Linked DNA regions of Rattus norvegicus. The protein of the gene in region 1 interacts with the protein of each later gene in a pairwise test. Links are inferred from orthologs where the notes say so. Each region holds a gene or a part of one and is shown in the gene's direction. Other genes may lie near its edges.

The links.
Region 2: the proteins of Pom121 (region 1) and Cep76 interact in binary tests that used the Homo sapiens proteins (3 or more experiments, as listed by UniProt). The two-hybrid records come from large-scale screens. The link is inferred for Rattus norvegicus from reciprocal best matches to the Homo sapiens genes POM121 and CEP76.

What each region holds. Positions count from the first base shown.
Region 1 is NC_086030.1:26,919,879-26,923,527, forward strand, and holds part of Pom121 (nuclear envelope pore membrane protein POM 121), read left to right. Parts: intron 1-554; coding exon 555-726; intron 727-1,936; coding exon 1,937-2,028; intron 2,029-2,697; coding exon 2,698-2,771; intron 2,772-3,047; coding exon 3,048-3,172; intron 3,173-3,276; coding exon 3,277-3,379; intron 3,380-3,649. UniProt on the Homo sapiens protein: Essential component of the nuclear pore complex (NPC). The repeat-containing domain may be involved in anchoring components of the pore complex to the pore membrane. When overexpressed in cells induces the formation of cytoplasmic annulate lamellae (AL).
Region 2 is NC_086036.1:63,454,286-63,457,934, reverse strand, and holds part of Cep76 (centrosomal protein of 76 kDa), read left to right. Parts: intron 1-1,344; coding exon 1,345-1,511; intron 1,512-3,053; coding exon 3,054-3,387; intron 3,388-3,649. UniProt on the Homo sapiens protein: Centrosomal protein involved in regulation of centriole duplication. Required to limit centriole duplication to once per cell cycle by preventing centriole reduplication.

The sequences.
Region 1 (3,649 bases):
CCCTTAAACAGGCAAAAGGTCGGTGAGGAGGCTTTGAAGGCCCCAGTCCAGAGCACTGTCTCAAAGCAACACAGGTGTCTGGGAGCTAGCTAAAGCGGTGGAGTGCTGGTGGAAGGAGGGGACATTGCTGGCTCTGCTGCAGCAGGATGCCCAGGTGAGAGAGAAGAAGCACACTGCCACAGTTGTCCGTGAACTGGTTTATGGTTGATGCGGGTTGCCCTGGGAAATGGTAAGGGGACCATACCGTAACAGGGCTAAGCAACACAGAAAGGACTATGGGAGATTTCTCTTTTTGGTTGGAGTCTCAGGACAGAGTAGTTGGTGCTCAACTCTTGAGGTTTTTTTTAGCAGCTTTATTGAGGGATCATTGACAGATGTTAAACTGATGTCCCCTTGATGCCACAATCAAGGTGTAGCTCTTCCTGTTTGTGTTTCCCATGCTGTGGCTTACCCAGTCACTTTGTCAGATACAGGCGGCCATATCATCTGTTGATAGTGCCCTCGGTCACACACCTGCCTGCAGTAGCCTATGTCCTCCTCTTCCTTTCTGTTAGGCCTGGCTCCCTGAAGAGAAGTCTGGCTTCCCAGAGCTCGGATGACCACTTGAACAAACGGTCTCGCACCTCCTCTGTGAGCTCCCTGACTAGCACATGCACAGGAGGCATCCCCAGCTCCAGCCGCAACGCCATCACCAGCTCCTACAGCTCCACCCGAGGTGTCTCACAGGTGGGTCTCCATGAGCAAAGGAGCAGACCTCCCTCCTGCTTTGCACTGAACCTGGCTCTAGCCTGAAGTAGCAAATAAACGAGATCAGTGGGATAAACAGCAAGCAAACCTGGTACAGAGAGCCTGCAGATAGAGACTGAAAAGCAGTGCGGTAAATGGGACTGAAAGAGTTTGTTCAGTGTGGAATATAAAGGAGATTTATAGGCAACTAGAATTTAGTGTGAGTTTTGATGCATGAAGAAGTTGTCATTCTTGTTTAGAGTTAGTTAGCGTCCATAGGTGGGGAAGCCAGGCAGCCCCACTGGCAGGCGTGCTTGGGGTTGAGTATTGGTATTGACACTAGGAGCTGCACAGGCTCCTGCAGGTAGATCAGTCGCCCTTTGTGTTTTTCCTTTTGTTTTTGAGACACGGTCTCATGTGTCCCCTGGCTGTCCTGAAGCTTGCTGTACCTCAGGTTGGGCTTGAACGAGCAATGAGCCTCCTCTTTCTGCCTCCTGAGGATTAGGTCTCCAGCTTGCACCTCCATACCCAGCTGGTATTTTATATTCATATTCATATTCATGGGGTGTCAGAATCTGTAAAAGTGCAGGGTGTACTTGTTATTGTAGGTGATTTTTGTTGAAATAATGAATACAAGTATTACCTTTTTATTTTTTTTTTTAATTTCTTTTTTTTAACTTATTATTTTGCAGTGTGTGGTGGAATACATGGTCTACGTAGTAAATTGCAATCAGGGCTATGCAGTAAGACATGGTCTTAAAAAAAATAAAAGAAAAGAAAAATTATTTGGGCCTCTGAGAGTTTAGGGGCAACATATGCATGCAGGTGCCCAGAGGCCACCAATCTCCTAGAATAGGATTATAGTACTTGTGAGCAGTCTGGTGTGGAGGCTGGGAACCAACCTGGGTCGTCCTCAAAAGCAGCAAGTGTTTCTTAACCACTGAGCCAGCTCTCCACACTCTCAAAAAGGTTATTTTTAGTTTTGCTGTAGTTGTTTGTTTTTCTTTTTAGTTTTTTCAGACACAGTCTCTCAGTAAAATAGCCCTGGCTGTTCTAGAACTAAATATGTAGACCTGTCTGGCCTTGAACTCAAAAAATCCACCCTCCTTTGCCTCCCTAGTGCTGGGATTAAAGGTGTGTGCCTCACCGTCTGGCCAGTTCAGAACATCTGCCAGTAATGGTCTCAGATGTGTCTCTGCTTGACTTGCAGCTGTGGAAGAGGAGTGGTCCCACCTCTTCTCCCTTCTCCAGCCCAGCTTCCTCCCGCTCCCAGACACCAGAGAGGCCAGCCAAGAAGACAAGGTGATCATCATTCCCTCCTGGTCACTTTGTATGGACGGGGCAATGGGCTTAACAGGGATTAGCTGGTGGGCTGCTTTTTCTGACTCAGCAAATCAAAGAGTCAAACCCCAGAAAAGTAGCAAAGAGCCTGCTAGAGTTATGTCCCTGTCCTACAGTGAGAGCAGCTGATGGCTGGAGTTCCTTCTCTGTCTCATACTCCACTGGGAGTGGTGCAGAGTGGACCCGGTCAACAGGGAGCCTGAGTCTCTCGCCCCAGTTCACCCTTCCCTGGAGCTCAGCTCCCTCAAGGATCAGGTCTGTCTGTGTCTGGCCCCACCTCCCTACCTGCCACCCAGCCTTTTTTTATTTTGTATGTCTGTCTGTCTGTCTTGGGCCTGCTTCCTCACCAGTTCCTCCTTGTTCCTGGCACTAACCTACCGTTAGAGCCTGAAGATGTAGTCTGGGACCCTGGACTTGGCAGGCTTTGAGTAAAGCTTTGCAGATCCCTGTTCTGTATTTGATTAAAGGCTGGTTGTTCATGGCCTCTGTCAACTCATAGTGATATGCTGACACCTAGAGCTGTGGTTTTTCTAGACTTTGCCTGTGTAGGAATGTGCAAGTGTGTGTGGGGGGTGCCATGCAGCCTCCAGGCCTTCCCAAGTAAACCCTAGCTTTTCACAATCTCCACAGAGAGGAGGAACCATGTCACCAGTCCAGTTCTTCAGCTCCCTTGGTGACAGACAAGGAGTCCCCAGGAGAAAAGGGTAAGTAGAGAAGCCATGGGAGCCGAGAGTGGCATCTCCAGTGGAAGTTAGCCACTGTGAGGCTTGGAAGATAGTTGTAGCCCTTTGGAGGTCCAGCATAGGAAGAGTGTCCACTGCAGAATATGAGGACTGCCAGGCCATGAGCTCAGGGTTGGGCTCTGAGGAGTGGGGTCACAGCTGTTCCGGAAGCAGTCAGAAACAACACTAACACAGAAAACAATCTCTTCCAAACTGTCTTGACCTTACTAGGGAGGCCAGCAACCCTTGTTTCTGTAGTTACAGATCCAGCCACGGGGAAGCAGCAGAGCCTGTGGACTTCCCCACCCACACCTGGCAGCTCCGGGCAACGCAAACGCAAGATTCAGCTGCTGCCCTCCCGGCGAGGGGACCAGCTCACCTTGGTATGTCTTATCGATCCCTCTCAGCTCTTTTAGTCTTAGGGAGTCTGGGGCAGGTTTCCACAGCTTCTGGGGTTGGTCTAACCTGTCTCTGTTTGCTTGGGCAGCCTCCACCCCCTGAGCTTGGCTATTCCATCACTGCTGAAGACCTGGACATGGAGAGGAGAGCCTCACTGCAGTGGTTTAACAAGGTCTTGGAGGATAAGACGGGTAAGACTGTGGAGCTCAGCATGCTCTGTGTGTGTTTCAGCTTTCCTGGGGAGAGAAGTTGTAGAATACTTGATTTTTCCATTTAGTTCTGAGTCTCATCTTCCAAGACTGCCTTCAGAGTCATAATACTGCTGCTTCAGCCTCCAAAGTGCAGGGTTTCAGATGTGTGCCATCACAACCAGCTCTTGGGTCTTTGTCCCCACTTGTTCTACCAGGGGCCTTATTACCAGGAGCTGTCACCAATACTTTCCCATGGGAAATGGGAGTTTT
Region 2 (3,649 bases), on another chromosome or scaffold:
TATGCATATCATTCCATAATTTGCAGGTAATATATAGATAAAATTTCATTGGTCCTGTTCTTTTATGCTAAGAACAGTTTTTCTATTGAATTCATAGCTTTTTCTTATTTTATGTATATGGGTACTCTGTTTTCATGTACGCCAAAAGAGGGAATCAGATTCCATCCAGCTTATAATCCACCATGTGGTGGCTGGGAATTAATCTCAGGACTTCTAGAAGAGTAGAAAGCGTTCTTAGCTGCTGAGCCATTTGTCTGTCCTAGAACTTGCTCTGTAGACCAGGTTTGCTTCCAACATATAAGAGATCCTCCTGCCTCTGCTTCCCCAGTGCCGGGGCGGAAGGCATGACCCCCTATACCTAGTTTGCTTTGGCTTTTTGATGTTATTAAATGAACTTTTGCATTAAATGCCTCTTAAATTTTATTTCGGGTTTTTTATAACAAAAATCTCAGGAAGAAAACATACTGGCTCCAAAAGTTTTCATTAAATATTATGATAAGGGTGTATAGCTCAGTGGGAGAGCATTCCTGGGTTCAGTTTACATCACAGCAAAAAAAGGGTGGGTGTTGGGGGAGGGGTAGTTAGAACCATAGAACCAGAAATAAAATTTTGAGGGAAAGAATTCTTCATTTTTATATTCAGTCACTAATTTTGCATGTAGCCTATAATAATCTTATACCTAAAATATCTGTCCATTTAAACATATCTAATAGATGCCTATACTATGTGGCCAGAGATGAATTTGAACTTCTGGTCTACCTCCTGAGGGCTGGGTTTACAGATATGTACCATCTGGCCTGCTTGTGGCGTGCTGGAGACCCAGGCTTTGTGCGTGCGAGGCACTCACTCTACTCTGATCTTACCGAGTTTTATACTGTTTTTAAGTTAGACACAGTGTAATGAGGGGTGGGCGTGGAGACATTCCTGTAATCCACGCATTCTGCCAGAGAGCAGCCATCAGCAAATCGAAGGCTAGTCCTTGCCAGATAGTGAGAGCCTATAGGAAACAGTGCCACAACACAGAAAGTCAGTTCACCCCAAAAATAAACATCTTATTGTTTTATTGTTCTTGTAATCATTTTACCTACCTTAAAAGTATATATAACACTGTTGAACTTGTTTGCTTAATTTGAGCACTTCATTAATTTGCATCTCCTACTGAAGTATTTTTCAACTTGCTTGTCCATCCCCTTTACCTTATAAATCTTCACATTAGCATATTTGTCTCCTTGTTTTAGATTAACACTGGATAAAAAATTAAAGTTGAAGTTTTTATTGATCTTTTAAACTTAGGTGTTACTAGAACTATGACTACATACTAATTTTACTGGACTTTCTTTCTAGGGTGATTGTGAAGACCACGCTAACCTGCTGTGCAGCCTTCTTCTTGGATATGGACTGGAGGCCTTTGTCTGTGTTGGGACGAAGGCCAAGGGGGCACCTCATGCATGGGTTATGACCTGTGGAACTGATGGGACCATCATGTTTTGGGAGAGTTTAACAGGGCACAGGTCAGTCAGCTAAGTTTACAAGGAGAGTATACCGCAGGGTTAGGGCCAATGAGATGGTTCAGCGGGTAGACACAAGCAGAGAGATAGCTAGGTCCACACACCTGTCCTCTGACTTCCACTCGCATGCCACAGCGTGAGAAAACTTAAATAAAACACAGGCATTATTGTGATGCTGGGGATCAAACCCAAGGCCCTGCAGTCATTCACTCATTCATTCACTCATTCATTCATTCAGTGTGAGGAAATCAGGACAACTTGCAGACTTGATTTCTTCCTCCATGTGGATTCTGGAGCTCACACTCAGGTCGGGAGGCCTGGCAGCATCTTTCCACACTGAGCCTCCGAGAAATTGTTTTTCTTGTTTGGATGGAACTCAGAAGTACATGTTTATAATCTTAGTTATTAGAGGCTTTTTGACATATGGTAGCTAAGTAAATGACTTTTAGGAGAATACTATGTACTTCTAAAATATTTACTATCATGCTATTAGTAAAATACATATGATATATTGACTTTTCATTTTGTGTGATTGGCACATTTATTTTCTGGTGATTATTCCTAAGACTAAAAATGAGTTCAAGTTGAAAATCATGGTTTAGTTTGAAAATCTGAAGTGGGCACCAACTCTGTTCTTCTTGGATGTTCTTTCTTGTTTTTCCTTCATCTTGTGTTAAGCGTTCAGTGTTGTAGAGGGCTGGGCCGCTTCCCTATTTTCCTAAGTTCTGTTTCTCCCTAGCTGATAATCATTTTGAATAGTCATGCCTAATATTATACAGGTAAATTATTTTAATTCTTATACTCTCTGGGATAAACTTTCTTGATCTTCACCATAGACATAGAATATTTCCTTCGTTCTTTCTTTTCTTCAAGACAGGGTTTTTCTGTGTCGCCTTGGCTCTCCTGGAACTTGCTTTGTAGATTAGGCTGGCCTTGAACTCATAGAAATTTGCCCTACTCTGTCTCTCTCTTTTTTCTTTTTTCTTTTTCTTTTTTTTCGGAGCTGGGGACTGAACCCAGGGCCTTGCGTTTGCTAGGCAAGCGCTCTACCACTGAGCTAAATCCCCAACCCCTACTCTGTCTCTCAAGTGCTGAGATTAATGGTGTATTCCACTGCCACCCAGCTTAGAATATTTTCTATTGTTAAAAAAATAGAAGTTGGTTTTTAAAGATGTGCTCTGTAGATGAGGCAGAGTATTCAATTGGGGAGGTGGCTCAGTAGAGCGTTTGCTGTGCAAGCATGAGTTCACATCTTCAGAACTCACGTAAAAGCTGAGTGTGGGCATGTCCTATACTCCCCAGACCTGTGAGTAGGGAAGACAGCAGGGCCCCGGGGATTCTGTGACCATCTATTTTACCCAGAACTGTGAGCTCTGGGTTCAGGGCAAGACCTCATCTTCAGAAGAAGGAAAGTGGACAGTGTCGCAGTGAGACACAGTGTTGGCCTCCCATCTGCACAGAAGCGCACACATGTGAGCAAGCAAGAGTAAGAGAACTCCTTTATCTTTAAAGATTCTCATAGTGCAAAACTGCCATTTCTTTTAGGTACATCCACAAGCCTACGAATCCTGATGAACCTCCTCTTGCTGAGCAGCCCAAACCCCTGTACCCCTACCGAACAGTCGGCTGCGTTTTCAACCATCAGACGTTCCTGGGGAACTGTCAACCCTCGGATGCAGTAGAGACATGCGTATTTGATTTGAATGATGAATCTAAGTGGAAACCCATGAGCGAAGAAGCAATTAAGTCTGTGTGTGCTCCAGGTGCTACTACGTCTCTCCCTCCCTTCCCCCCTCTGTGCGCGTCCACGATTGACGCGTCAGCCACGAGCAATGAAATTGAAATGCAGCTAAGGCTGCTGGTGTCGGAACACAGAAAGGTAACCAACACGAAAGCAGTTGTAGCTTCATGCTCCCTTTTGTTGTGTTTATTTTCTAACTTTTCCTTTGGAATTGTTAGTTTATGTGGATAGTTATTTTGCTTGTAGATCGCTATGAATACCACTTGCATGCCTGATGCCCTTGGAGGTCAGGAGAGGGCTCTGGATTGAGTTGCGATTACCAACCGCCGTGTGAATGCTGGGCAATAAGTGCACGTAACCAAAGAGCCAACTCTCCACCCCAACTCACCCACTATTCTAG